Anolis sagrei: one gene and its partners. The protein of the gene in region 1 interacts with the protein of each later gene in a pairwise test. Links are inferred from orthologs where the notes say so. Each region holds a gene or a part of one and is shown on either strand. Other genes may lie near its edges. The genes, in order: UBE2E3, RNF167, mitochondrial ubiquitin ligase activator of nfkb 1-A-like and CNOT4.

Region 1 (7,310 bases):
ATCACTGGGTGGCTGTGAGTTTTCCAGGCTGTATGGCCATGTTCCAGAAGCATTCTCTCCTGACATTTTGCCCAAATCTATGGCAGGCATCCTCGGAGGTTGTGAAGTCTGTTGGAAACTAGGCAAGTGAGGTTTATATATCTGTGGAAGGTCCAGGGTGGGAGGAAGAACTCTTAGCCGGGTATAAAAATGAAGTTATTATTATTATTTGAAGCACAACAAGATGAGTCCACAGCAGATAAGATCACTCTGCTGGCTGTTGCATTGGATCACACATCGGAAACTTCCCAAGTGTCTAGGACTGTGTGATGTATCAAAGAATAATGCGTTGTTGTTGTTGTTGTTATTGTCTGCTTGAGGCAAATGTGAATGTTGCCATTGGCCACTTTGATTAGCTTTTAATGGTCTTGCAGCTTCAAAGCCTGGCTGCTTCCTGCCTGGGGAACAAAATCTGGATACTAGTATTAAAAAAACCTCTAAAATCAGGACACTAAATACAGAAGAACACTCAGAAAACATTTACATTGAGGCAAGTGTGAATGTTGCCATTGGCCACCTTGATTAGCTTCGAATGGCCTTTCAACTTCCAAGCCTGGGTGCTTCCTACCTGGGGAACAAAATCTGGCTACCAGTATTTAAACAACTCTAAATAAAGAACAACATTCAGAAAACATTTACACTTGCCTCAAGCAGACAAGGGTTCTTTTTCCCACCTTGGACATTATTCCACAGATATATATACCCAATTTTCCTAGTTTTCAACAGACCTCACAGGCTTTGAGGATGCCTGCCATAGAGGTGAGCGAAACATCAGGAGAGAATGCTTCTGGGACATAGCCAGACAGCCTGGAAAACTCATATATCTTTCTCTCACCTTGCACAGATATACAAACCCCACTTGCCTAGTTTCAAACAGACCTCACAGCCTCTGAGGATGCTTGCCATAGATGTGGGTGAAACATCAGGAGAGAATGCTTCTGGAACATAGCCAGACAGCCTGGAAAATGCATATATCTTTCTGTCACCCTGCAGTTTCGAACAGACCTCACAACCTCTGAGGATGCCTGCCACAGAGGTGGGCGAAACGTCAGGAGAGAATGCTTCTGGAACATGGCCATCCAGCACAGAAAAACTCACAGCAACTTAGGACAACAGGGTTGTAAACAACCGAGACTGACCCCAAAATAGGCTCTCTCTCTGCCCTGAATAATATTTACCTTAGAGACACTAGGTTAAGAGCCCCTTCCTCTTTGCTCCCCGGGCCCCAACAACACACTTATATTTATAGTAATGAGAACATATATACAAAGGGGGGGGGAGGGGGGACACAGATCCCAACAAACCCACTGCCTCTCAATTTTCACCCTAATGTTTGGGCCCAACTGGAGAGAAGGTTTGGGGAAAGAAGGAAGGAAGGGGAAGAAGAATGGGCCCAACTGAGGAGAAGGTTTGGCGAAGGGAGGAAGCAAAGAAGGAAAAGAAGAAGAAGCACCTTCTGGAAAGCTTTCAACGCCACCACCGACTCTGGATCAGTTTCTACAAAACAGACAGACATCTTTTTGCCCCCTAAAAAATAAATAAATGGGGATTCCTCCAGGAAGGATCACATGCAAGAGAGGGGGGGTTGAAATATTGGGATTAGATCATTCCCAAAAAAGAGAAAGAGGGAGAAGGAAGAGGAGGAAGAGGAGGTAGATCCTGATCAGGAATTGCAGCAGGGGCAGCTTTGCCCTCCTCTGTGTGTGTGTGTGTGTGTTGCCTTCAACACAGAGTCGTCCTCCTCCTCCTCTTCCTCCTCTTCCTCCTCCTCTTCTTCTTCCTCCTCTCTCTCTGCTGTAATGGCAGGAAGGAAGCTTCTCCCACCCGGATCCGTCCACTCCGCGCGTGTGTTGTGTGTGTGTGTGTGTGCCACCAAGTGAGGCGTGAACTCGAGTGGGGCCAGGCAGCCAGAACAAAGCTCTCTTTTCCACGACCACCCCCCTTCCCCTCCTCCCTCCCCTTCTCCCTTCCTTCCCTCCCCCCTTTCCCTGCTTGTCCTAACCCGTGTCTCCTTTTTTTACCTTGGCAGCCGTCCTGTCCCGACGTTCACTCGGAGGAGGAGGAGGAGGGGAGGGAGGGAAGGGGGGAGGGAAGGGAAGGGAAGGGAGAGCGTTGTGTCCTTGGGGGCTGGGAAGGGGCTACGAGGAGGAGGAGGAGGAGAAGCAGGAGAGGCAGCAGCAGCAGCAGCTTGGGAGGGGGGCAATCGGGCGGCGGAGAAGGAGGAGGAGGCGGCTCTGTGGCCGGGCAGTGTGGATCATTGAGAGCCGGAGAGAAGGGGGGTGGGAGAGAGAGAGAGAGAAGGAGAGGGAGAAAGGGAGAGAGAAAAAAAGGGGAGGTGCAATACACGCGATGGCCGGACGGTGGCGCTGCGGAGCGCTCCCCTTTTTTTCCTCTCTCTCTCTCTCTTTCTCCTCCAAAGGGAGGGGGGGGGGGCAAATCGAACGTTCTCTCGCCTCCGCCCCCTACTTTCGGATTCAGAACGTTGCAGTCAGCAAAGTTCCAAACGCAGGGAGAGAGAGAGAGAAAAGGGAAAAGGACGGCGCGCGCGCTCTCCCAGGCTGGAGCGCGCGCCCCCGCTGGTGCTGCTGCTTTGTCGGCTTTAGTGCGCGCGCACGCGCTCTGCTCTTTCTCACTCTCTCTCTCTTTTTTTTTTACCTTCCCCCGCTTTGCTGGTCAAGGACAAAGAGTTGGCTGCCCAAGGGAACCCAGGAACCCCTTTCCTTTCCTCTCTCTCCCGGCCTAAGTTTGCAGCCTTCCCCCCAAAGGGAAAGTCTCCCTTCTCGTCCTCCCAGGCATACACTCACCCACCTCGCCTTCGGTCATGTGCAGCCAGAGGCAGCAGCAGCAGCTCGTGTGTGTGTTGTGCTTGGAAATCCTGGACTCCTTGGGAGAGGCCCCAAAGGCCACCCAGTCCAACCCCGTTCTTCCACAATCAAAGCACTCCCGGCAGATGGCCATCCAGCCTCTTTAAAAGCTTCCAGGACTTGGGGACTCCATTACACCCTGAGGCAGAGAGTTCCACTGCTGAAAAGCTCTCACACAGGAAGTTCTTCCTAATGTTCAAATAGAATCCTTTGGTCATTTGCAGCCAAAGGCAGCAGTAGTAGCTCGTGTGTGTGTTGTCCTTGGAAATCCTGAACCCAAAGGCCACCCAGTCCAACCCCCTTCTTCCACAATCAAAGCATTCCCGGCAGATGGCCATCCCTCCTCTTTAAAAGCCTCCAGGACTTGGAAACTATTAAACCCTGAGGCAGAGAGTTCCACTGCTGAACAGCTCTCTCACAGGAAGTTCTTCCTTATGTTCAAATAGAATCCTTCAGTCATTTGCAGCCAGTGTGTGTGTGTGTGTTGTATTTGGAAATCTTGGACTCCTATAGATTCAGGAGAGGCCCCAAAGGCACCTAGTCCAACCTTGTTTTTCCACAATCAAAGCATCCCCAGCAGATGGCCATCCAGCCTCTTTAAAAGCCTCCAGGACCTGGAGATTCCATTACAACCCTGAGGCAGAGAGTTCCACTGCTGAACAGCTCTCTCACAGGAAGTTCTTCCTAATGTTCAAGTAGAATCCTTCGGTCATTTGCAGCCAGAGTGTGTGTGTGTTGTGCTTAGAAATCCTGGACTCTTATAGAATTAGGAGTGGCCCCAAAGGGCACCTAGTCCAACCCTGTTCTTCCACAATCAAAGCACTCCTAGCAGATGACCATCCATCTTCTTTAAAAGCCTCCAGGACCTGGAGATTCCATTACAACCCTGAGGCAGAGAGTTCCACTGCTGAACAGCTCTTTCACAGGAAGTTCTTCCTAATGTTCAAGTAGAATCCTTCGGTCATTTGCAGCCAGAGTGTGTGTGTGTTGTGCTTAGAAATCCTGGACTCTTATAGAATTAGGAGTGGCCCCAAAGGGCACCTAGTCCAACCGTGTTCTTCCACAATCAAAGCACCCCTGGCAGATGGCCTTCCATGCTCTTTAAAAGCCTCCAGGACTTGGAGACTCCATTACACCCTGAGGTAGAGAGTTCCATTGCTGAACAGCTCTCACACCGGAATTTCTTTCTAATGTTCAAGAAGAATCCTTCTGTCATTTGCGGCCAGAGTGTGTGTGGTTGTACTTGGAAATCCTGGACTCCTATAGAGTCAGGAGCAGTCTCAAAGGCCACCCAGTCCAACCCCGTTCTTCCACAATCAAAGCACTCCCAGCAGATGACCATCCATCTTCTTTAAAAGCCTCCAGGACCTGGAGATTCCATTACAACCCTGAGGCAGAGAGTTCCACTGCTGAACAGCTCTCACACAGGAAGTTCTTCCTAATGTTCAAATAGAATCCTTCGGTCATTTGCAGCCAGTGTGTGTGTGTTGTGCTTGGAAATGCTGGACTCCTATAGAGTCAGGAGCGGTCCCAAAGGCCACCCAATCCAACCCTGTTCTTCCACAACCAAAGCACCCCCGACAGATGGCCATCCATCCTCTTTAAAAGCCTCCAGGACTTGGAGACTCCATTACAACCCTGAGGCAGAGAGTTCCACTGCTGAACAGCTCTCACAAGAAGTTCTTCCTAATGTTCAAATAGAATCCTTCAGTCATTTGCAGCCAGAGTGTGTGTGTTGCGCTTGGAAATCCTGGACTTCTATAGAGTCGGGAGAGGCCCCAAAGGCCACCCAATCCAATCCCGTTCTTCCACAATCAAAGCACTCCCGGCAGCCTCTGTAAAAGCCTCCAGGACTTGGAGACTCTATTAAACACTGAGACAGAGAGTTCCACTGCTGATCAGCTCTCTCACAGGAAGTTATTCCTAATGTTCAAGTAGAATCACCTTTGTACTGTCGAAGGCTTTCATGGCCGGAATCACTGGGTTGTTGTAGGTTTTTCGGGCTGTATGGCCATGTTCTAGAAGCAGTCTCTCCTGAAGTTTTGCCTGCATCTATGGCAGGCACCTACACTTTCCTTAAAAATCCACATTATCTGCTTTGAACTGGATTATATGGCAGTGTAGACTAATACAAAGTATAGAAGGCTCCTCAGGCTCCTAGATTCCTTTCACGTGTACTGTATTCAAGCCAGGTGCCACACATCCTATATGAGCTGTCCATTTCATTTTTATTGCCCAAGTGTCAAACTATACATTTCTCAGCCAGATTATATGAGTCTACACTACCATGTAATCCACTTCAAATCAAATAATTTGGATTTTATATGACAGTGTAGAAGGGGCCCTAGTGTCCCTCTAAACAACAACTCTCAGGATTCCACAACATTGAGTGTGGCAGTAAAAGTGGGGTAAAACTAATTCATTTTGCAGTTAAGATGCACCCAGTTACTGCTAGTGCGGACAGATCTTTGCCCTACATTGCTACCACTGCCAATCCCCTGTGTCAGGTACTAGAAGGAGAACTGACTTATACTGCCCTGAGGTCACTGGATGAAAAGGCTGGTCGAGAAATACAATCTATATAAATAAAAATGTAATATTCGTTTGTGGGGTTAACATAACTCAAAAACCACTGGACGAATTGACACCAAATTTGGACACAAGACACCTATCAGGCCAACGAGTGCCCATCACTCATAATAATTCTGAAAAACACAACAGAAAGGGCTTAAAAATCCAAAAAAACCAAAAATTACGTTACAACTTATGCACAAACCCTCACACACACGCACACACACAACACACATATACACATTCATGTACACACACAAAACACATATACACAGACTGGGCCACAGCAACACATGGCAGGGGACAGCTTGTAAATAATAATAAATATATAATAAATATATAATAAATCATCATGGTCTGGGAAACCAGGTGTGAAAGCCTTCTCTATGATTGTTCCCAAATCTCTACAGGCAGATTTCTCTTTGTTTTTCCAATATATTTTTTTTACTATTTTATTTAATCAGGCCTTTTGTTGTGTTTTGTTTTTTACTTGTTGCTGCAGATGGAGCTTTCCACGCGGTGAGTGCTGTATGTGTGTGTGTGTGTTTCATTATGTTTGAATCTGTTTTTTAAAAGATTTTAAACTTGTGTTTTTGAAACGGAAATTATTCCTCAACACATTTATTTTTTATGTTTCTATTAATAGTTTGTTCAGATTGTTCTTTGTTTTAACTTTATTCTAGTACTGAGGGGGAAACTGGAATATCAAATAAATGGATGTAAAAATACAAATATCCTCGGTCGTGTATCAATTTGCCAATGCCAAATTGAAGGCCCACACAGCCTTATATTCCAGAATGTCATGGCAGAAAATTCCGTATTATCTTGAGTGTGGACTCAGATAACCCAGTTCAAAGTAGATATTGTGGGATTTTCTGCCTTGATATTCTGGGCTATAGCGCTGTGTGGAAGGGCCCTGACATGGAAGTCCAGAGTCCAATCATAGTCTTCTCTGAAGTTGAAAGTGTTAAAAGTCTGAGGCCCCTTCTATATTGCCATATAAAATTCAGATTGTCTGCTTTGAACTGGATTATATGGCAGTGTAAACTCATACAGTCCAATTTAAAACTGATAATGTGGATTATCTGCTTTGAAAAGGTGGATTATGTGGCAATGTGGAAGGGGGCTGAGATGTTATATATGTGGAAAGATACCTTTGATTATCAGCTTTGACAATCTGGATTATATTGCAGTGTAGAAGGGGCTTTGGAGTCTTGCTTTAGCATTCAAACTACACTAGAAGTCCAGTTAACATATACTGTGTGCAGGTATGTAGCCCGGGGGGGGGGGGGGGGCTTGAGGGGCTTCAGCCCCCCCCCCCCGAAATTCTCATCGTAGTTCGCGAAAAGGCCTTACTGCTACATTATTTAAACTGTTATGTTTATTCATATCATGATCTAATCACCATGCTCAATATATCCCATATGCATGGGGGTATTGAGGTAACGATACAAAAGGTTTGCTAGGGTAGATCCTGAGGCCTCCCCTCCCCCCGAACCCAAGAAAATTACCATATACAAGAATATTGATGATGGTTAGGATTGGAAACCTGCTTCACTTTCAAACAATACTGCTTCTGCATACTTCAAGAACAAGATGTCGTCTACTTCCCCCTTCTCCTTTTCCTTGTTATTATTGTACATATTTATATCCTGATTTCCTCTCTTAAAGGAGAGTCAAAACCTTTGTGTGTGTTTATGCGCCTTCTATTCTCCCAATGTCGAACCCATCAGGGTGTTTTTGCTAGTCCCTTCCTCTAATATATAGCCTATAGCAGGCATCCTCAAACTGCGGCTCTCCAGCTGTTTGGGCCTCCAAATCCCAGAAGCTCTAATG
Region 2 (7,083 bases), on another chromosome or scaffold:
GGCCCCGTGAGGCCATCCAGTCCACCCCGCGTCCTCCTGCCTTCCTGCAGGGAGAGCCCCCCCCCCGCCATTCGATCCCTCCGGACAGAGGCCCTGCTTCCCCACGCGCCCCTTCCTTCCCCTTGTTCTTCTCACCCGGCCAGGCCCCCGAAAAGGAACTTGACGGACTTGGGGGAGGTCTTGGGCTTCGCCTCCGCCATCTTGGACCAAGGTCACTCCGGCCCGGCTGGAAGGGAACACAGCTATGAGGGGGATCCCCGCAGCCAATCAGCGCCCGGCTTCAGGCGAGGAGGCGGGACTTCTGGGGAAAGGGAGCCGAGGACGACGAGGAGAGACGCAACCACGCACGCGCGGGAGCTAAAGGGGCGTGGCCAATCAGGCAAGGGGCGTGGCTACCGGGCAAGGGGGCGTGGCCAAGCTGGCTTTTTCCCGCGCCTGCGCAGTACTAGGAGTGAATGCCATTCATCCAAGTCAGTTTTGCAGAATTCAAAAACTGACCACCATTATCATTAATACCATTATTATTATTATATTGTTTTATTATATATTCTATTATTATATATATTCTATAATATATATGATTATGATATATTATATTATTATTATATATTCTATTATTATAGAATATCAGTATGTTCTTCTATTATATAATAACATATTGATATTCTGTAATAATAGAAAATATAATAAAATAATATAATAATAATAATATAAATATGTTAGGTTCTTGTGGGTTTTTTCGGGCTATATGGCCTTGCTCTAGAGGCATTCTCTCCTGACGTTTCGCCTGCATCTATGGCAAGCATCCTCAGAGGTAGTGAGGTCTGTTGGAACCAGGAAAAATGGGTTTATATATCTGTGGAATGACCAGGGTGGGACAAAGGACTCTTGTCTGCTGGAGCTAGGTGGGAATGTCTCAACTGACTACCTTAATTAGCATATAATGGCCTGACAGTGCCTGGAGAAAACTTTTGTTGAGAGGTGTTAAGATGTGCCTGGTTGTTTCCTCTCTGCTGTTTTGCTGTTGTAATTTTAGAGTTTTTTACATCTTAACACCTCTCAACAAAAGATTTTCCCAGGCTCAGCCAGGCCTTTCAATGCTAATGAAGGTGGTCAGTTCAAACATTTACACCTAGCTCCAGCAGAGAAGAGTCCTTTGTCCCACCCTGGTCATTATTCCACAGATATATAAACCCAATTTTTCTAGTTCCAGCAGACCTCACTACCTCTGAGGATGCTTGCCATAGATGCAGGCGAAACGTCAGGAGAGAATGCCTCTGGAACATGGCCATATAGCCCGAAAAAACCTACAACAACCCAGTGATTCCAGCCATGAAAGGCTTCGACAAGACATTATTTGGATTGTTTCCTTAATGGCTGTCCAAGATGCATGGGCTCAGGGACAGAGAGGGAGGGGTCCTGGGTGCACATTAGCCGCGTTTCTTCCCGAGGAGTGACCAGCAGCCCCACTTCCACTCCCCACATTCCAGGCCATTGCCCTCCACTCTTTTGGCGCATGGTTTGCCCTAAGGTCAGGCCTTGGTCCTTGGCCAAGGAATGTGGAGGAGGAGGAGGAGGAAGAAGAAGAAGAAGAGGAATGCTTGGCATAGCAAAACCAGGAATGCCATTGTGCTGGGAGGAGGAGGAGGCCATGTGCTGCTGTTGTGGACGCTGCACTCAACATTCCTACACATGGGTCTGTGGCTGGGCCTTTGCAAGAGCAAACGAAGCCTCCCATGAGTTGCTGTGAGTTTTCCAGGATGCACAGCCAATATGTTATTATTTATTCTCAAGATCATACATATGGAGAACCCTGTGTTATGCGGGCAGAAACTAATAATAATAATAATAATAATAATAATAATAATATAAAGTTTCTGTCCCCATAACACAGGGTTTTCCATATGTATGATTTTGAGAATTAATAAATAATAATAATAATAATAATAATAATAATAATAATAAAAGGAAATCAGGAGACACTTCCTTCTTGGGAGGAGAGCAATGTCCAGTCTCGATAAAATAGTCAAGAGTAGAGACATCAGACTGGCAACCAAGATCCATTGCCTAGTCCAAGCCATGGTCTTCCCTGTAGTCACCTCCGGATGTGAGAGCTGGACCTGAGGGAAGGCTGAGCGAAGGAAGAGAGATGCTTTTGAGCTGTGGTGTTGGAGGAAAGCTCTGAGAGTGCCTTGGACTGCGAGAAGATCCAACCAGTCCATCCTCCAGGAAATAAAGCCCGACTAAAGCTCACTGGAGGGAAGGAGACTAGAGACAAAGTGGAAATCCTTTGGCCACATTATGAGGAGACAGCAAAGCCTAGAGAAGGGAATGATGCTGGGGAAAGTGGAAGGCAAAAGGAAGAGGGCAAGATGGATGGATGGCATCCTTGAGGTGACTGGACTGACCTTGAAGGAGCTGGGGGTGGTGACGGCCAACAGGGAGCTCTGGCGTGGGCTGGTCCAGGAGGTCACGAAGAGTTGGAGATGACTGAACGAATGAACAACAATAATAATATAACTATAATAATAATAATATAACTATAATAATAATAAAAAATAATATAAAGTTTCTGTCCCCATAACACAGGGTTCTCCACATGTATGATTTTGAGAATTAATAAATAATTGTTGCAATCCAGAGCAGGGAACGAGGCCCTAAGATAACTCTCCACCACACTTGGCTGTGAAAAACAATCCTTTTTTATTGAAGAAAAATGGTTACAAAATAAAGGGAAAATGCAAGTCAAAAGCCACAGCAAAATCAGCAAACATGAATTTAAATGGACAAAGCAAAACCAAAAGCCTCACTGTGAAATACTGGAACCTGTTAGCAATCCACTAACCATACTTGATATCCTAGAAATCTTCCCAAACTATGGCCAGGGAACCGGGAGAACTGCCAAGGTCTTCATCAATTCTGAAACGATGCCTGAACTGAGACGTAAGGCAATTAAAACTCAAGAATTGGTTCCGTGAACCGCCCTTCTGTTTTGAAGCCAATGTTTTTAATTCTTGAATTCGGGAGGATCGAGGCAAACTGAGTGATTTACTTCTGTCTTCCCAAATTTGGCCCCTTCTGTTGTCATTACAGTTACCAGGTGCAGAAGGGAGGGGAAGGTCAAGGTCTCCCTCTGAAACATTCTCATGAACACGGGTACTTTCATTTTCCAAATCTACAGAAGTTCCTTCCTCACTAATTTCAGGAACATTGGCATTTTCCAAACCTACAGCAGATTCTTCCTCACTAATTTCAGGAGCCTTGGCATCAAAAGGGACATTTCCACTAGCATCAGTAAATATACTTTCATTTGCATCAGGAGGAACAAACAGAGAATTAGGTTCAAGTTCAAACTCAGGCTGAACCCCAACAATAATAATAATAATAATAATATAACTATAATAATAATAATAATAATAATAATATAACTATAATAATAATAATATAACTATAATAATAATAAAAATAATATAATTTTCCCCATAACACAGGTTTTCCATATTTATGATCTTGAGAATTAATGAATAATAATAATAATATAACTATAATAATAATAAAAATAATATAAAGTTTCTGTCCCCATAACACAGGGTTTTCCATATGTATGATTTTGAGAATTAATAAATAATAATAATAAAACTATAATAATAATAAAAATAATATGAAGTTTCTTCCCCCATAACACAAGGTTTTCCATACGTATGATTTTGAGAATTAATAAATAATAATAATAATAATAATATAACTTTAATAATAATAATATAACTATAATAATAATAAAAATAATATAAGTATAATAATATAATAATAATAATAATAATAATAATATAACTATAATAAAAAATAAAAATAATATAAAGTTTCTTCCTCCATAACACAGGGTTCTCCATATGTATGATCTTGAGAATTAATGAATAATAATAATAATAATAATAATAGTCTGCCTCCTCCCCCTCCCCCTCCCCCTCCCTCCTGCTGCAGCTGAGCCCGAGATGACACGCCCACCGATCTGCATAGCCCCGCCCACTGCCCTGCGAGGCCCCGCCCACCCCTCGAGCGAGCCGGAGAGGCGGAAGTAAACAAGGCGGGCGCTTCCGGAAGGGGCGGGGCTTGATGCTGTGGGCCTTTCCCCTCTGGTGAGGCCTTCTCCCACGCGAGGCGAGGGACGAGCGGCGAGCCCGAGGACCCCCGGTTGCGTGCCCATGAGGCGGGGGGCCTGAGCCCGCCAAGGAGGGGAAGGTAAGGGCGGTCAAGGGAGGGAGTCAGAGGAGGGAGGGCCCTCTGGTCACGTGGGGACACACCTGGGCACACACCTGGGCCCTGCCCTTTGGGGATTGTTTTGGGCTCTCAGGTCAGATCAGCAGGGTGATTTCCAACGCTGTTTATTGGAAGGAAACCACTCTTGGCTTTGGTTTTTTCTCTGAATGCTCCCATTAGAAAATGCATGAGGATGTGGGTGAACTACAACTCCCAGAATCGTGGGTCAAGCCTCCCCAAGCCGGGCCAGTATTCACAGTTGGCCATGTTGGGCCAGTGCGCCAAGTCTGGTCCAGATATGTCATTGGCAGGGTTCAGTGCTCTCTAGGTGCAGGTGAACTACAACTCCCAGATTCAGTGATCTCTCTCTTGATGCAGGGGAACTACAACTCCCAGATTCCGAGGTCATTCACCCCCAAACCCTGCCAGTATTCATAGTTGACCATATCTGGGCCGGATATGTCATTAGCAGGGTTCATTGCTCTCTAGATGGAGGTGAACTACAACTCCCAGATTCCAAGGTCATTCACCCCCCTAACCCTGGCAGTATTCACAGTTGGCCATGTTGGGTTTATGCGTCAAGTTTGGTCCAGATATGTCGTCACCTGGGTTCATTGCTCTCTAGATGCAGGTGAACTACGATTCCCAGGTTCATTGCTCTCTAGATGAGGGTGAATTACAACTCCCTGATTTCAAAGTTCAGTGCTCTCTAGATGCAGGTAAACTACAACTCCCAGATTCCAGGGTTCAGTGCTCTCTAGATGCAGGTGAACTACAACTCCCAGATTCAATGGTTCAGTGCTCTCTAGATGCAGGTGGACTACAACTCTCAGATTCCAAGGTCATTCACCCCCTAACAGTGCCAGTATTTGCAAGTTTGGTAGTTGATTAAATGTCCTTTGACCAGTCTCTGGCCCCTTGGAGTGCCTCTGGTGTTGCCACAAGGAGGTCCTCCCTTGTGCATCATGTGGAAGAAGGGCTCAGGGTGCATTGCAGCAGGTGGGCAGTGGTTTGCCCTTCTCCGCGCTCGCATGTCGTGGACCTCACTTTGTGGCCCCATTTCTTGAGGTTGGCTCTGCATCTCGTGGTGCCAGAGCACAGTCTGTTCAGCACCTTCCAAGTTGCCGAGTCTTCTGTGTGCCCAGGGGGGAGTCTCTCATTTGATATCAGCCGTTGATTGAGGTTCTGGGTTTGAGCCTGCCACTTTTGGACTCTCGCTTGCTGGGGTGTTCCAACAAGTGTCTCTGTAGATCTTAGAAAACTATGTCTTGATTTAAGTCGTTGACGTGCTGGCTGATACCCAAACAGGGGATGGGCCAGGGATGTCTTCACTGTATCTGGTTGTGATCTCCAGGTTGTGCCAATCAGCTTTCGTATGATATTGTTTCTAGCGCCCACTTTTTGCTTGATGTTCAGGCAGTGCTTCTTGTAGGTCAGAGCACGGTCCAGAGTGACTCCCAGGTATGTGGGTGCGCTGCAATGCTCCAGTGGGATTCCTTCCCAGGTAATCATCCTCAGAGCTCGGGATGCTTGTCTGTTCTTAAGTTGAAAAGTACATGCCTGTGTTTTAGATGGGTTAGGGATCAGCTGGTTTTCCCTGTAATAGGCAGTAAGAGCACCTAGAGCTTCGGAGAGCTTCTGTTCAGCCATCTCAAAGCTCCCTGCTTGAGCGGTGATGGCACGATCATCAGCATAGATGAAGCTCTCCATCCCTTCTGGCAGTGGCTGGTCATTTGTGTAGATGTTGAACATGGATGGAGCAAGCACGCTCCCCTGAGGCAAGGCCGTTCTTCTGTTTCTGCCATAAGCTTCTCTGGCCCTGGAACTCAACCAAAAAGCTCCTGTTTTGTAGCAGGTTTCCTATGAGGCAGATGAGACGGTAGTCCTCTGTGATATTATACATTTTTCTCAGGAGGAGGCGGTGGTTCACTCCAGAAGCAACCAGAAGCGACTAAAATGGATTATATCAGTCTACACTGCCATATAATCCAGTTCAGATCAGATAAGCTGGGTTTTATATGGCAGTGTGGAAGGGGCCTTTATGCTAATCCGCTTTGAGACTCCTTCGGGAGAGACAAAGCAGGGTTGAGCCCAAGGTGAGTTTGACCTTCCTTCTTCCAGGCAACGGTCTGGGCTTTTCCTTGATTTAGCAAGAAAAGGGCCAAGTACGTCAGTCGAAAGGAGAAACCTGCCCACACTTCTGAGAATGTCCAGGCATCATCATCATTGTTGTCATATTTATTTACACCCCGCTTTATCTCTCCCAACGGGGACTCAAAGCATCTTGACATAAAAGCATTAGTAGGCTATTTAAAATATCCAAAGATGCAAACATGGAAAGAAAACTAAACACAAACAGCACGAAAGAAATTCACAGTTAAAATCCATTAAAACATCTTCAAAGTGGAAAAGCACAGGCACAGCCGCGTTTGTGCTTTGTATGGAAGGCAAGCCAGAACAAGGTGGATTTCCTCCTTCCTTCTCTGACCCCTTCTACACTGCCATATTTTACTTGTTGTGTCAGGGCAACCAGTCAAATTATATTACATTTCTAACAGAACAAAGCAAACAAACAGACATAATACAAAATGTGTGAGTTTGGTAGTTGATCAAATGTCCTTTGACCAGTCTCTGGCCCCTTGGAGTGCCTCTGGTGTTGCCGCAAGGAGGTCTTCCATTGTGCATCATGTGGCAGGGCTCAGGGTGCATTGAAGCAGGTGGTCAGTGGTTGGCTCCTCTCTGCACTCGCATGTTGTGGATTCCACTTTGTGGCCCCATTTCTGAAGGTTGGCTCTGCATCTCGTGGTGCCAGAGCGCAGTCTGTTC
Region 3 (7,446 bases), on another chromosome or scaffold:
TAGACAAATGTGTGTTTTAGCAATGTTGTAAACCGCCTCGAGACGTGAGGAGAGGTAGGTAAGAAATAATAATTCTCCCCTTTCCTTCCTCTTTTTTCTTTCTTCTCCTTCCCTCCCTTCCTCTTTCTCTTCTTTTTCTCTTTCTTCCTTCCCTCGTTTTCCCTCATACACATCCTTTTCTCTCCTTTTTTCCTCTTCCTTCTATTCTTACTTTCCCCTTCTTTTTCTTTCTTCCCTCCATCCCTTCATCCTTTCTTTCTTCCTCTCCTCCCCTCATATCTTCTTCCTTTTCCTTTCTTTATTCCCTCCTTTTTCATTCATACCCATCCATCCCTCCTTTCTTTCATTTTCCCATTTTGTTCTTCTTCTTTCCTCCTTTCCCTTCCTTTCCTTCTCCCCTTTATTGTTGTTGTTTGTACCCCACTTTATCTCCCCCAAAGGAAACTCAAAGCAGCGGAACATAAAAGCATCAGCATAAAATTGAAAACATACCAATAGGCAAATATGAAAACAGAATTAAATATAACAAGCATTTTAAAAATTCCCAGTTCGAACATATTCAGAGTTCAAAACTACAGAAACCCTTTTTCTTCCTCTTTTGTCTTCCTTCTTTCCCTCCCTTCCTGTCTTTCTCTCCTTTTTCTCTTTCTTCTTTTCCCAGTGACATCACAGAGGGACACTTCACCTAGCAACTGCCAATCATTCACATCCAACTAACTTTGATCCTTATTTCAAACCCTTTCTTTCTTCTTCTTTCTGTTGGGGTTCATCCTGAGTTTGAACTTGAACCTGATTCTCTGTTTGTTCCTCCTGATGCTAATGAAAACATATTTACTGATGCTAATGGAAATGTACCTCTTGATGCCAATGCTCCTGAAATTAGTGAGGAAGGAACTTCTGTAGATTTGGAAAATGAAAGTACCAGTGTTCATGAGAATGTTTCAGAGGGAAGCCTTGACCTTTTCCTCCCTTCTGCACCTGGTAACTTTAATGACAACAGAAGGGGGCAGATCTGGCAAGATAAAAGTAAATCACTCAGCTTGCGAAGGTCGTCTCGAATTAAAGAATTAAAAACATTGGCTTCAAAGCAGAAGGGTGGTTCACGGAACCAATTCTTGGGCTTTAATTGCCTTCTGCCGGGCGGACTTTCTCAGTTCAGGCATTGTTTCAGAATTGATGAAGACCTTGGCAGTTCTCCCGGTTTCCCTGGCCATGGTATTGAAAGATTTCTAGGATATCAAGTACGGTTAGTGGATTGCTAACAGGTTCCAGTATTTCAGTGTGGCTTTGGGTTTTGCTTTGTCCATTTAAATTCATGTGTGCTGATTTTGCTGTGGCTTTTGACTTGCATTTTTCCTTTATTTTGTAATCATTTTTCTTCAATAAAAAAGGATTGTTTTTCACAGTCAAGTGTGGTGGATAGTTATCTTAGGGCCTCGTTCCCTGCTCTGGATTGCAACACTTTCTTTCTTTCCCTTCCCTTCCCTTCCCTTCCTGTCTTTCTCTTCTCTTTCTTTCTTTCTTTCTTTCTTTCTTCCTTTCCTAGTGACATCACAGAGGGACACTTCACCTAGCAGCTGCCAATCATCCACATCCAACTAACTTTGATGCTTTTGAGCCTGAAAAAAATCACAGAGGGACACTTCACCTAGCAGCTGCCAATCATTCATATCCAACTAACTTTGATGCTTTTGAGCCTGAAAAAAATCACAGAGGGACACTTCACCTAGCAGCTGCCAATCATTCATATCCAACTAACTTTGATGCTTTTGAGCCTGAAAAAAATCAGAGGGACACTTCACCTAGCAACTGCCAATCATTCATATCCAACTAACTTTGATGCTTTTGAGCCTGAAAAAAATCACAGAGGGACACTTCACCTAGCAGCTGCCAATCATTCATATCCAACTAACTTTGATGCTTTTGAGCCTGAAAAAAATCACAGAGGGACACTTCACCTAGCAGCTGCCAATCATTCATATCCAACTAACTTTGATGCTTTTGAGCCTGAAAAAAATCACAGAGGGACACTTCACCTAGCAACTGCCAATCATTCATATCCAACTAACTTTGATGCTTTTGAGCCTGAAAAAAATCACAGAGGGACACTTCACCTAGCAGCTGCCAATCATTCATATCCAACTAACTTTGATGCTTTTGAGCCTGAAAAAAATCACAGAGGGACACTTCACCTAGCAGCTGCCAATCATTCATATCCAACTAACTTTGATGCTTTTGAGCCTGAAAAAAATCACAGAGGGACACTTCACCTAGCAACTGCCAATCATCCACATCCAACTAACTTTGATGCTTTTGAGCCTGAAAAAAATCACAGAGGGACACTTCACCTAGCAGCTGCCAATCATTCATATCCAACTAACTTTGATGCTTTTGAGCCTGAAAAAAATCACAGAGGGACACTTCACCTAGCAGCTGCCAATCATTCATATCCAACTAACTTTGATGCTTTTGAGCCTGAAAAAAATCACAGAGGGACACTTCACCTAGCAGCTGCCAATCATTCATATCCAACTAACTTTGATGCTTTTGAGCCTGAAAAAAATCACAGAGGGACACTTCACCTAGCAACTGCCAATCATCCACATCCAACTAACTTTGATCCTTTTGGGGCCTGAAAAAAGTGAGCTTTTACAAAGTTGGACCATGACATGAAGTTGGATCATGAATGGTTTGGCCCAAATCCATCAAGGCATGGAGGAGCTTTTGGGGGACAACCCAACCAACATACACACATGCTTTGACTTTTATTAATGTGGGAATTGTAATAATTGTGTGACTGAAACAAAAGTTTGATGCATCAAAGTATCAGAACACTCTGCCCATGCTCAGGGGCACTCTTGCCTAGACTAACTCCCAGGATTCAAGGTAAATCCATTAGAAACATTAATGGCCACTGACTTACCTCTGACGCCGAGAAACAACTTCCCATATCCTCGCTTCTCTCCTTCTCTGGCGGAACCAAAGTTTTGTGGTCTCAGCCCGGCGGAAACGCCAGCGTGCACACTCCGCCGCGGTGGGTTATGGGAAACGGAGTCCAAAAAACAGCGACTTCCCTTCGCAGCGGTTTTTCCATCGCTGTTCAAAGACTACGACTCCCAGCGTGCTCTGCTCGCAAATAGAATGTGTTGCGACTCTTGCTGGCCGGAAAGCGCTGACTGCAGCTTCTCTTTGTGGCAGACAGCTGTTGCTGGGAAATGTGACCCTCAGGTAGGCCTGGGCCAACTTGGGCCCTCCAGGTGTTTTGGACTCCAACTCCCACAACTCCCACAGCCTGTAAGCTGTTAGGAATTGTGGGAGTTGGAGTCCAAAACACCTGGAGGGCTCAAGTTGGCCCAGGCCTGCCTTAGACTGTCCCTCTGACTATTGAAAGTTGAATTAAGATGCAATAAGAGAGCTTAGGGTTGGGGAAAATATTTTGGGCCAAATGTGGCCTGCAGGCCATCGTTTGCATGCCCCTGGATCTAGTCTAACATATTTATGTTATGTTTGAACAGATGAAGGCTGCTGCAGATAAAGATGTAATCTTCTATTGACAATGTATCCAGAGGAGGGCGACTAAAATCATCAAGAGTCTGGAGAACAAGCCCTATGAGGAGCGGCTTAAAGAGCTGGGCATGTGGACAACAAGTTAAACATGAGCCAACAATGTGATGTGGCGGCAAAAAAAAAAGCCAATGGGATTTTGGCCTGCATCAATAGGAGCATAGTGTCTAGATCTAGGGAAGTCATGCTACCCCTCTATTCCGCTTTGGTTAGACCACACCTGGAATATTGTGTCCGATTCTGGGCACCACAATTCAAGAGAGATATTGACAAGCTGGAATGTGTCCAGAGGAGGGTGACTAAAATCATAAAAGTGTCTGGAGAACAAGCCCTATGAGGAGTGGCTTAAGGAGCTGGGCATGTTTAGCCTGAAGAAGAGAAGGCTGAGAGGGGATATGATGAGGGCCATGTATAAATATGTGAGAGGAAGCCACAGGGAGGAGGGAGCAAGCTTGTTTTCTGCTTCCCTGGAGACTAGGGCACAGAACAATGCCTTAAAACGACAAGAAAGGAGATTCCATCTGAACATGAGGAAGAACTTCCTGACTGTGAGAGCCGTTCAGCAGTGGAACTCTCTGCTCTGGAGTGTGGCGGAGGCTCCTTCTTTGGAAGCTTTTAAACAGAGGATGGATGGCCATCTGTCAGGGATGATTTGAATGCAATATTCCTGCTTCTTGGCAGAATGGGGTTGGACTGGATGGCCCATGAGGTCTCTTCCAACTCTTTGATTCTATGATTCTATGTTTCGCCTTCAGAAGAGAAGGCTGAGAGGAGATATGATAGCCATATATAAATATGCGAGAGGAAGTCACAGGGAGGAAGGAGCAAGCTTGTTTTCTGCTTCCCTGGAGACTAGGACGCAATGGAACAATGGCTTCAAACTACAAGAAAGGAGATTCCATCTGAACATTAGGAAGAACTTTCTGACTGAGAGACGTTCAGCAGTGGAACTCTCTGCCCCAGAGTGCTGTGGCTCAGTCTGAGCCTGAGTCTCAGACTGAATTGTTTGGGCCTTCTGGGTCTGCTGGGCCTTCTGAGCCTGACTTTCTGCAGGATGATGAGGAGGCTGATGGGTTACAGATTCCTGTACATGTTCCAGACGGGGCTGATAGTGTGGCTTCTGAAGAAGAAACAGCAAGCCTGTTTCCCGGGGAAAGGAATGTGCCTTTAGATAAAGATAGTGAAACTCCACAAGTGCAGGTGAAGACTCCTTTCGGTTCCCAGAGTGATGAGGCCCAGCTGGGCCAAGATAATGAGTTGTTTAGCCTTGAAGATAATAGTGAATTAATGAGTAGACAGGATAGTTTACGATTAATAGCTTGCAGAAGCACACGCCTTGCCAACAAGCGTGAAGCCAAAGGTCAATGCAACGCTTTCATGTCAGGGAAACTTATTTAATGATGTAGGTGACAGGCATTTCCTGTCAGTCCAATGTTGCTCTTTCCCTGTTAACTTCTGTGGAACTACCTTGTCTTTTGCGGAACGCTTCTGGCTTCTTTGAGACTTGGATTTTGATCCTGATTTTACCTGTTTACCACGGACTCTTGTTTGACCATTGCTAAGGGATTATGTTATTTGCCTTTGGATCTTGGGAACTTTGCCTTTGCATTTAAGACTCTGTTTTGCCTATTGAATTTTTGCATCTTTATTTCTCTGTTTTGATTTTGCTTTTTTCTCAATAAACTACAAAACCTACAGCCTTGGGTGTGGTGGTGTCTTGACCAAGGTGAAGCTTCCCTGAGTTGTGACACAGAGTGTGGTGGATGCTCCTTCTTTGGAGGCTTTTAAATAGAGGCTGGATGGCCATTGTCGGGGGTGCTTTGAATGCAATTTTCCTGCTTCTTGGCAGGGGGTTGGACTGGATGGCCCATGTGGTCTCTTCCAATTCTATGATGCTACATGTCGCTTGTGGTCGCACATGCTGCATTATCTCAGGCTGTCTGTGCCCTACACCACTGGAGAAATAATGTTTAGCCAGTATTGCAACACCTGACATCCGCTGGGAAGTAGCAACCAATAATGAAAGGACCAAGGCAGTGACATATCCAGCCCATCCCCTATTCAGATATAAACCAGTATGCCAATGCCTTAAATCAAGAAATAGTTTTCTAAGAGGGTTGTTGTAGGTTTTTTGGGCTGTATGGCCACGTTCTAGGTGCATTCTCTCCTGACGTTTTGCCTGCATATGTGCCAGGCATTCTCAGAGGTTGTGAGGTTTGTTGGAAACTAGGAAAATTGGGTTTATATATCTGTGGAAGGTCCAGGGTGGGAGGAAGAACTGTGGTCTGTTGGAGCTAGGTGTGAATGTTTCATTTGGCCACATTGATTAGCATTTGATGGCCAGACAGTTTTTAGGTGTCGCTTGTTACTGCCTGGGAAATTCCTTTGTTGAGAGGTGATTAGCTGTCCCTGATTGTATAAGCTATTGTCCTCCCAACCCTGCTGTACACCCGCGAAAAGACTGTCTACAGATGTCATACGCAACTCCTGGAACGATTCCATCAGCGCTGCCTCTGAAAAATCCTGCAAATCTCTTGGGAAGACAGGCGGACAAAGGTCAATGTGCTGGAAGAAGCAAAGACCATTAGCATTGAAGTTATGCTCCTTCATCCTCAACTCTGCTGGATTGGCCACGTTGTCCGAATGCCCAATCAACGTCTCCCAAAGCAGTTACTCTACTCCGAACTCAAGAATGGGAAATGTAATGTTGGTGGACAGGAAAATAAATTTAAAGATGGGCTCAAAGCCAACCTTAAAAAAAATGTGGCATAGACACCAAGAACTGGGAAGCCTTGACCGTTGAGTGCTCTAACTGGAGGTCAGCTGTGACAAGCAGTGCTGCAGAATTCGAAGAGGCACGAATGGAGAATGAAAGGGAGAAACTTGCCAAGAGGAAGGCGCATCAAGCCAACCCTGACTGGGACCACCTTAATCTGGAAACTGATGTCCTCACTGCAGGAGAACATGCAGATCAAGAATAGGGCTCTACAGCCACATACGGACCCACTGCCAAGACACTACACCTGGAAGACCATAATCCCCAAGCTACGAGGGATCGCATAAGTAAAGTTTTCTATACTACCAAATGAATGCAGTTTGACACCACTTTAACAGCCATGGCTTATTGCTATGGAATCATGAGAACTTTAATTTCACAAGTTCATTAGCCTTCTCTGCCAAAAAGAAGCTGGTGCCACACCAAAAATACAAACTCCAGGATACTATAGTACTAAGTGATGGCAGTAAAAGTGGTGTCAAGGCACAGTAATTCAACAGTGTAGACAACTTAAGGGAAGTTCTAGTTCACATTACCTGTCTTTTTTGGCACACAGGAAAATAATCCCTAAATAGAAATGGTACATTGGCAGAATGGACTCAGGTAGAACTTTCCACCATCTGAAAGTTTTCTGCACATGGTGAATGTTTTTGTAACGACTAACATATGGTCCCGGTGCTTCCAATCTGAAATGCTATAGTCCGGACACAGGCATAAAGTAGATGTTCATGTGCCTCTAGATCTCCCAAATCCCAGCCTGACTTCACTGAAAACAAAACAGTGCTTATCGAGTCTCATTTCTAATCTCTGGTGATTTGTATTTTCCTCTCAATGTTTACATTTTATTTGTGCCACACATTTGAAGACCACATTGAAACAATCAAGCGGAAACGGCTTTTAATAATTAAATACACCAACGGCATCCCTCCTCCCCCCACCAACACACATACACACACTCACACGCTAAGTCCAAGGCACTAGTCCTCACCGAGCTCAAGGGATGGGAGCGAGTTTGGAATTTCTAAAGCCAAGCTGGTCTGGAACTGAGAATAAGCCTGAGGAGAGGGTTAACGGAAACAAACGTGGAAGCAAACCTGACCCACACA
Region 4 (7,198 bases), on another chromosome or scaffold:
TTCTTTGGTGGAGAAGACTAGAGATCTTGTCAAAACTAAAACTCCCAGGATCCCCTAGCATTGAGCCATGGCAGTTAAAATTGTGTCCAACTGCATTAATTCTACAGTGTAGATGCACCCTAATACGAACCACTCCTTCAGTCATCACTGCACTGCTGCTCATCTGTCCCATCGGCCTCTTCTTCTCTTCCATTCCACTGCCATCAGTGGGATTTGTTGCATTACTTTCGTTGACTACTGTAAGCTCCCTGAGTTTCATTGACTGATGTGAGCTCTCTTTCTCCACATCCCCAGTGGAGAGTGCAGATTTGTGCATAAAGGGTGAATAAAGCAAACAAGGCATCGATAACACTAAACCATGGCAGTGAATGTGGTGTTAAACTTCATGAACTGTGTAGTGTACCCTTACCCTAAGACACTTGGCTTATCTTAAAACATAGATATGGAAGATCTAACTTTACTCAAGGAGAAAAACAAGAGGATTGGAAACAAGGGACAAATAGAATGTCACATTAGAAAAGGGAGAAAATTATAACGCCAAGGAGGGGAAGTCTGCAGTCAATCCCTTAACCAGTGCCCTTCCACACAGCCCTATATCCCAGAATATCAAGGCAGAAAATCCCACAATATTGGCTTTGAACTGGGTTATCTGAGTCTATACTGCCCAATTGAAAGTAGAAAATTTGGTATTTTATTCAGCTATGTGGAAGGGGTCTTATGCTTTGAACTGGAATATATGGCACAATAGACTCAGGCCCCTTCCACACAGCTGAATAAAATCCCACATTATCTGCTTTAAACTGGGATATATGGCAGTGTGACTCAGATAACCCAGTTCAAAGCAGATATTGTGGGATTTTCTGCCTTGATATTCTGGGTTATATGGATGTGTGGAAGAGCCCTTAGAATGAGTTAGCTGGAATCTCTTTAAGGCATTGCAGAGGTCCAGAACTAAGTTCAAAACAGAAAATGTGGGATTTTATTCAACTATGTGGAAGGGGCCCCAGAGAACCCTGCAAAGCAAAGGCAGCCTTATGGGGGCATCAAAGGGCTATGGCCCAGCCTCCGTATCTCCCCCTATGAACGATCTCAGAGATTAAGATTGTCTGGGGAGGCCCTGCTCTCAGTCCCACCTTCTTTGCAAGTGCAGTTGGTAGAGACGAGTGACAGGGCCTTCTCAGTAGTGGCCCCTCAGTTATGGAACTCCCTCCCTAGTGATATCAAGGCTGTCCCTTCCCTCCTAGTGTTTAGAAAGAGAGTCAAAACCTGGCTCTGGGAGTAGGTATTTGAAAAATAGAGCAGTGCAGGAAAGCAAGTATGGAATATGTGCAATTTGACTACAGATTGGCCTTTAGACTGCCACTTTGGATGATGTGATTCATTGAAATGTATTTTTATTATACGTATTATGTTTTAATTTTTAACTGATGTTGTATGTTTTAAGGCACTGTGGAGGTATAATTGTAAGCCGCCTTGAGTCCCCCTTGGGGTAGAGAAAGGCAGGATATAAATAAGGTAAATAAATAAATAAAATAGAATTAATAGTTCGACAAAACTTCAATTGCCATTTTTTTTGCCATGTCAGGAGTGACTTGAGAAACTGCAAGTCGCTTCTGGTGTGAGATAATTGACCGTCTGCAAGGACGTTGCCCAGGGGATGCCTTGATGAATTGATGTTTTTATCATCCTTGTGGGGGGCTTTTCTCATGCCCCCGCATGAGGAGCTGGAGCTGATAGAGGCAACTCATCTGCCTCTCCCCGGATTCGAACCTGCGACCTGTCGGTCTTCAGTCCGGCTGACACAGGGGTTTAACCCACTGCGCCATCGGGGGCTCTTCAATTGCCATGCCTCTATGCGACAGAATCATGGGAGTTGTAGTTTGGTGAGGTACCAACACTATGTGGCTCAATACCTTGTAAAACCACATCTCCCATGATTCCATGGTATTGAGCCATGGAAGTTGAAGTGGTGTCAAACCCTGAGACAGCTAGTTTACCTTAGGCATACAGATCCAACATGGGCAAACTACCCGGAGACATCTAGTTTACCTTAAGCATATAAATCAGGCATGGGCAAATGTACTGGCTGTTAGGAATTGTGGAAGTTGGAGTCCAAAACACCTGGAGGGCCGAAGTTTGTCCATGCTTGATATAGATTCAGGAGATCTAGCCTTACCGAGGGGCCAAAATATACTGTACTGTACTGTAAATAAATAAAATGAGAGGAAGGGACAAAGAGCGAAAATGTGAGGATGGGAAACAAGGGACGAAGAGAAATCCCCCTGGAGACAGCTCTGTCCCACACTGAGGAGTGGATGCCTCTAAAAAGCAATGCAACATTGGGGATCCACTTCCACGTAAGGAGAAGGCCCCACAGGGAAACATAACGGGGAAGGAAGAAGGGCCGGAGAGGGAACACCCAGAGAGGTAGGTACACACATACAGTTAACTGCCACCCACTCCCAACACACGTGCTCCTTCCGAAGAGATCTCTCTCAGGATCGCAAGGCGAGGGGCAGCAGCCTTCCCCTCGGCAGCCTCGCCCTGAAAAGCCCCGGCGTGGCCCGCCTGCCTCCCTCCCTCTGAGGGGCGGCCCAGAGCCTCCTCCTCGGCCTCTCTTCCGCCTCTGGCTTTGGCCTGAGGGAGGCCAAGCGCGGAGGGCAGCGAGGAGGGCGGCCCAGGCCTGGAAGCTCCCTTGAAGCCTCCGCGCTCTCGTAACGGAGTGAACCCGGCTTGCCTGCCTTGCTCACCGGCCTCGTCGTCCCTGCTCCACGGCGGCGGGGGCGGCGGCGGCGCGCGCTCTCTGCTGCCGGCTGGCTGGCTCCTTTCCTTCCTTCCTTCCTTCTTTCCTTTCCTTCCTTCCTTCTTCCTCTCGGGGCGGCTCCTCCTCCTTTCCCCCTCTTCTTCCTTTTTTTTTATGTGAGAGACGGGTAATCTCTTGGCTCTGCGCGCTGCTCCGCCGCCGACAGACCGGCCACCATCTTACATTAGGGAGAGACTGCTTGCCTGCTTGCTAGGCTTGCCCCGGACGCGCATGCGCACCAGGCGCCGGAGAGGCGGGTTGCGGGGGAAGGAAGGCGTCGAAAGAGGCGCGACGCGCGGAACAGAGCATGACGGGAGTTGTAGGCCAGCCCCGGAGGGTTCGGAAAGGGAAGGACGCGGCGCGTAGGTTATGCGAAATAGGTTCCCAGGCTGCAGCTCCCAATGTTGGCGGCCAGGAGCATCTGGAGGGACACCATATCACTGTCTATTGTTCTATATAGGCTTCCTTTCCACCCTCGGTCCAAGTTGGGCCCTCCAGGTGTTTTGGACTTCAATTCCCATCATTCCTAACAGCCTCAGGCCCCTTCCTTTTCCCTCTCAGCCCATGTTGGGCCCTTCAGGCGTTTTGGACTTCAATTCCCACCATTCCTAACAGCCTCAGGCCTCTTCCTTCCCCCCCCCCGTCCAATTTGGGCCCTCTAGGTGTTTTGGACTTCAATTCCCACCATTCCTAACAGCCTCTGCCCCTTCCTTTTCCCCCTCAGCCCGAGTTGGGCCCTCCAGGGGTTTTGGACTTCAACTCCCATCATTCCTAACAGCCTCAGACCCCTTCCTTTCCCCCCTCAGCCCAAGTTGGGCCTTCCAGGGGTTTTGGACTTCAACTCCCATCATTCCTAACAGCCTCAGACCCCTTCCTTTTCCCCCTCAGCCCAAGTTGGGCCCTTCAGGTGTTTTGGACTTCAACTCCCACCATTCCTAACAGCCTCAGGCCCCTTCCTTTCCCCCCTCACCCCAAGTTGGGCCCTTCAGGTGTTTTGGACTTCAACTCCCACCATTCCTAACAGCCTCAGGCCCCTTCCTTTCCCCCCTCAGCCCAAGTTGGGCCCTCCAGGTGTTTTGAACTTCAACTCCCACCATTCCTAACAGCCTCAGGCACCTCCCCCCCCCAGTCCAAGTTGGGCCCTCCAGGTGTTTCAGACTTCAACTCCCACCATTCCTAACAGCCTCAGCCCAAGTTGGGTCCTTCAGGTGTTTTGGACTTCAACTCCCACCATTCCTAACAGCCTCAGGCCTCTTCCTTCCCCCCCCCCCCAGTCCAAGTTGGGCTCTCCAGGTGTTTCAGACTTCAACTCCCACCATTCCTAACAGCCTCAGCCCAAGTTGGGTCCTTCAGGTGTTTTGGACTTCAACTCCCACCATTCCTAACAGCCTCAGGCCCCTTCCTTTTCCCTGAGGGTGGAGTTGAAGTCCAAAACATCCAGAGGGCCCAACTTGCCCTATGCTTGATCTAGCCTGTAGAATGAATGCGGTTTGACATCACTTTGACTACCCTGGCCCAACGCTGTGGTTGGTAGCTTGGTGATGCAACAGCTCCCATTGGCAGAGAAGGCTAAAGACCTTGTGAAACTACAGTTCCCATGGTTTGATAGAATTGAGCCATCTGATATCCCTAGGGAGAGTGTTCCATAGCTGAGGCCCTGTCTCTCGTCCCCGTCAGACGTACTTGTGATGAAGGCGGGACCGAGAGCAGGGCCTTCCCAGACAATCTTAAAGTCCTCGATGATTCATAAGGGGAGATGTGTTCAGACAGGTAAGTTGGGCCAGTACCGTTTAGGGCTTTATAGGCCAGAGCCAGCACTTTGAATTGTGCTCAGTAGCAAACCAGCAGCCAGTGGAGCTGGCGCAACAGGGGGGTTGTATGCTCCCTGAGAGTCGCTCCTGTTATCAACCTGGCCGCCGTCTGTTGGACTAGTTGACACTTCCGGACAGTGTTCAAAGGCAACCCCACGTAGAGTGCGTTGCAGTAGTCTATATGTGATGTAACCAGAGCGTGGATTACCATGGCCAAGGTGCATTTTTGTACAGTGTCATTCAAATATATACAATATCATAATACATAGAACAACATTGGAATGTAATATTGCTAGTATATGTTAATGTTGTAATATAATATATTGTATACACTACAATCTATGATATAGTACAATCTATCTATACATATAATAAAAGTCAAAGTTTGTATGCGGCGGACGTGTGGCGGGAGGAGTATGTGCCAGCGTTTTGATTGGTTGCCGCTGTGGTGCTATTTGCATATGGTCTCTGATTGGCCAGCTTCAATAGGAGCCCCTGGTGGAGAAAAGAGTTCATTACAGAAACAGGGACATGAGAAGGAAATGTGCATATGGTCTCTGATTGGCCAGCCTCAATTCCAAGATTCTGAGATGACAAAGAGAGGAAAGGAAAAGGCCGGGGGGGGGGGGGGGGGGCTGCGTCAGAAAATTACCAATACAGACCAAACTTGGCACACGGCGACTGCAAGACCCACTCAACATCCTACTGCAGTTTGGAGGATGAACCTTGGATGATGGGACTTGCAGTACAATCACTCACATTCTGAGACCGCTGTTAACCTCATCCCATGACTGATCAGGACCAAACTTGGCACATAGACCTCTCATGACCCACTTTACGTCCTGGTGTGGTTTGGCCGGGGATGTACCATGGATTATGGGACTTGCAGTACCTTTGCTCAATTCTTGAGACCACTGCAATCCTCATCCAATTACCGATAAAGACCAAACTTGGCACACAAAGTCTCCATGATGCACTCTACATCCTGGTGCGGTTTGGAGGAGGATGCACCATGGACGATGGGACTTGCAATACCTGCATTCCCTTCCTAAGACCATTACAACTGCCAACAATGATGGATCAGGACCACAATTTACACAGAGAACCCGCATGACCCACTCTACATCCTGGTGTGGTTTGGAAGAATTTGACAATGGATGATGGGACTTGCAGTCACTTCATTCACTTCCTGAGACCACTGAGACCCTCGCCAATGACTGATCAAGACCAAACTTGGCACACAGAGTCCCCATGACCCACTCTACATCCTGGTGCACTTTCGAGGAGGACATACCATGGATGATGGGACTTCAAGTACCTCCACTCCCTTCCCAAGACTGCTGCAACCCTCATCTAATGTCCGATCAAGACCAAACTTGGCACACAGAGCCCCCATGACGCACTCTACATCCCTAAGCTGTTTGGAGGAGGATGGACCACAGATGATGGGACTGGCAGTACTTTCACTAACTTCCTGAGACCACTGCGAGCCATATAAATAACTGATAAAGACCAACCTTGATACACAATTCCTTTCTCAAATAACCCGGGCAGCGCCGGGACCCAAGCTAGCTAGTATATTATATAATACTATTTATATGCTGGTAATATATTTTATATATTGTGATATAATACTCTGTTCAATATAATAATACATACTGGGTTGTTGTAGATATTTCGGGCTGTATGGCCATGTTCTAGAACAGTGGTTCTCAACCTGTGGGTCCCCATGTGTTTTGGCCTACAACTCCCAGAAATCCCAGCCACTTTACCAGCTGTTACGATTTCTGGGAGTTGAAGGCCAAAACATCTGGGGACCCACAGGTTGAGAACCACTGTTCTAGAAGCATTCTCTCCTGACGTTTTGCCTGCATCTGTGACAAGCATCCTCACAACCTCTTGAGGATGCTTGCCACAGATGCAGGCAAAATGTCAGGAGGGAATGCTTCTAGAACGTGGCCATACAGCCCAAAAAACCTACAACAACCTAGTGATTCTGGCCATGAAAGCCTTCAACAATGCATTAATAATATATAATTGTATATTATATATATTACTGGTAATATTGCAGTATAATGTGTTATTTTTAATGTAGATGTGGTTATTTTTTGTCTTTGTTCAGTTTCTCACGGCATTGAATGTTTGCGGATATCTGTTCCTTTGGAGAAATAGGGCGGAATATAAATAAAGTTTTATCATTATTATTATTTTATTAAATGGTTGTTCTTGGACTGGATTCCATTTGCATATTCTTGATTTGCCACTTAGCAGATAATTTTTAGGAAAATAAACATTTATTTTAAATTTGCATTATTTGTCAAAAAGAACAATTAAAAAGCTGTATGCATGTACATGTGTGTTCAATATGCATAAATGTATTTCCTAACAGCTTTTCAGCAATTGCATTAACTATGCCATCTCCTCCTCCCATCCATCCTACTGGAGAGGCTTCCTATCCTTGGGGTTAGAGACAAATACAATTATGCTCTTCCTTCCTATTAAAATATTTTTCCATCCTTCCTCCAAGCTGCATATCAGTGATTATTTAGAAACTCCATATGAAAATGCCAACATTAAAATTCCA

Evidence for each region.
Region 2: the proteins of UBE2E3 (region 1) and RNF167 interact in a two-hybrid assay, tested with the Homo sapiens proteins (2 studies listed by BioGRID and IntAct). The link is inferred for Anolis sagrei from reciprocal best matches to the Homo sapiens genes UBE2E3 and RNF167.
Region 3: the proteins of UBE2E3 (region 1) and mitochondrial ubiquitin ligase activator of nfkb 1-A-like interact in a two-hybrid assay, tested with the Homo sapiens proteins (2 studies listed by BioGRID and IntAct). The link is inferred for Anolis sagrei from reciprocal best matches to the Homo sapiens genes UBE2E3 and MUL1.
Region 4: the proteins of UBE2E3 (region 1) and CNOT4 interact in a two-hybrid assay, tested with the Homo sapiens proteins (3 studies listed by BioGRID and IntAct). The link is inferred for Anolis sagrei from reciprocal best matches to the Homo sapiens genes UBE2E3 and CNOT4.

The regions. Positions count from the first base shown.
Region 1 is NC_090021.1:188,322,164-188,329,473, forward strand, and holds the start of UBE2E3 (ubiquitin-conjugating enzyme E2 E3), read right to left. Parts: upstream 3,013-7,310; 5' UTR 2,998-3,012; coding exon 2,848-2,997; exon of another isoform or gene 2,844-2,847; intron 2,374-2,843; exon of another isoform or gene 2,061-2,373; intron 1,953-2,060; exon of another isoform or gene 1,556-1,952; coding exon of another isoform or gene 1,493-1,555; intron 1-1,492. UniProt on the Homo sapiens protein: Accepts ubiquitin from the E1 complex and catalyzes its covalent attachment to other proteins. In vitro catalyzes 'Lys-11'- and 'Lys-48'-, as well as 'Lys-63'-linked polyubiquitination.
Region 2 is NC_090026.1:1,250,047-1,257,129, forward strand, and holds the start of RNF167 (E3 ubiquitin-protein ligase RNF167), read left to right. Parts: upstream 1-4,075; 5' UTR 4,076-4,239; intron 4,240-7,083. Other genes in the region: SLC25A11 (mitochondrial 2-oxoglutarate/malate carrier protein), read right to left, coding at 136-200.
Region 3 is NC_090023.1:262,723,093-262,730,538, reverse strand, and holds the start of mitochondrial ubiquitin ligase activator of nfkb 1-A-like, read right to left. Parts: upstream 3,019-7,446; 5' UTR 2,924-3,018; intron 1-2,923. UniProt on the Homo sapiens protein: Exhibits weak E3 ubiquitin-protein ligase activity. E3 ubiquitin ligases accept ubiquitin from an E2 ubiquitin-conjugating enzyme in the form of a thioester and then directly transfer the ubiquitin to targeted substrates.
Region 4 is NC_090025.1:158,008,693-158,015,890, reverse strand, and holds the start of CNOT4 (CCR4-NOT transcription complex subunit 4), read right to left. Parts: upstream 3,008-7,198; 5' UTR 2,751-3,007; intron 1-2,750. UniProt on the Homo sapiens protein: Has E3 ubiquitin ligase activity, promoting ubiquitination and degradation of target proteins. Involved in activation of the JAK/STAT pathway. Catalyzes ubiquitination of methylated RBM15.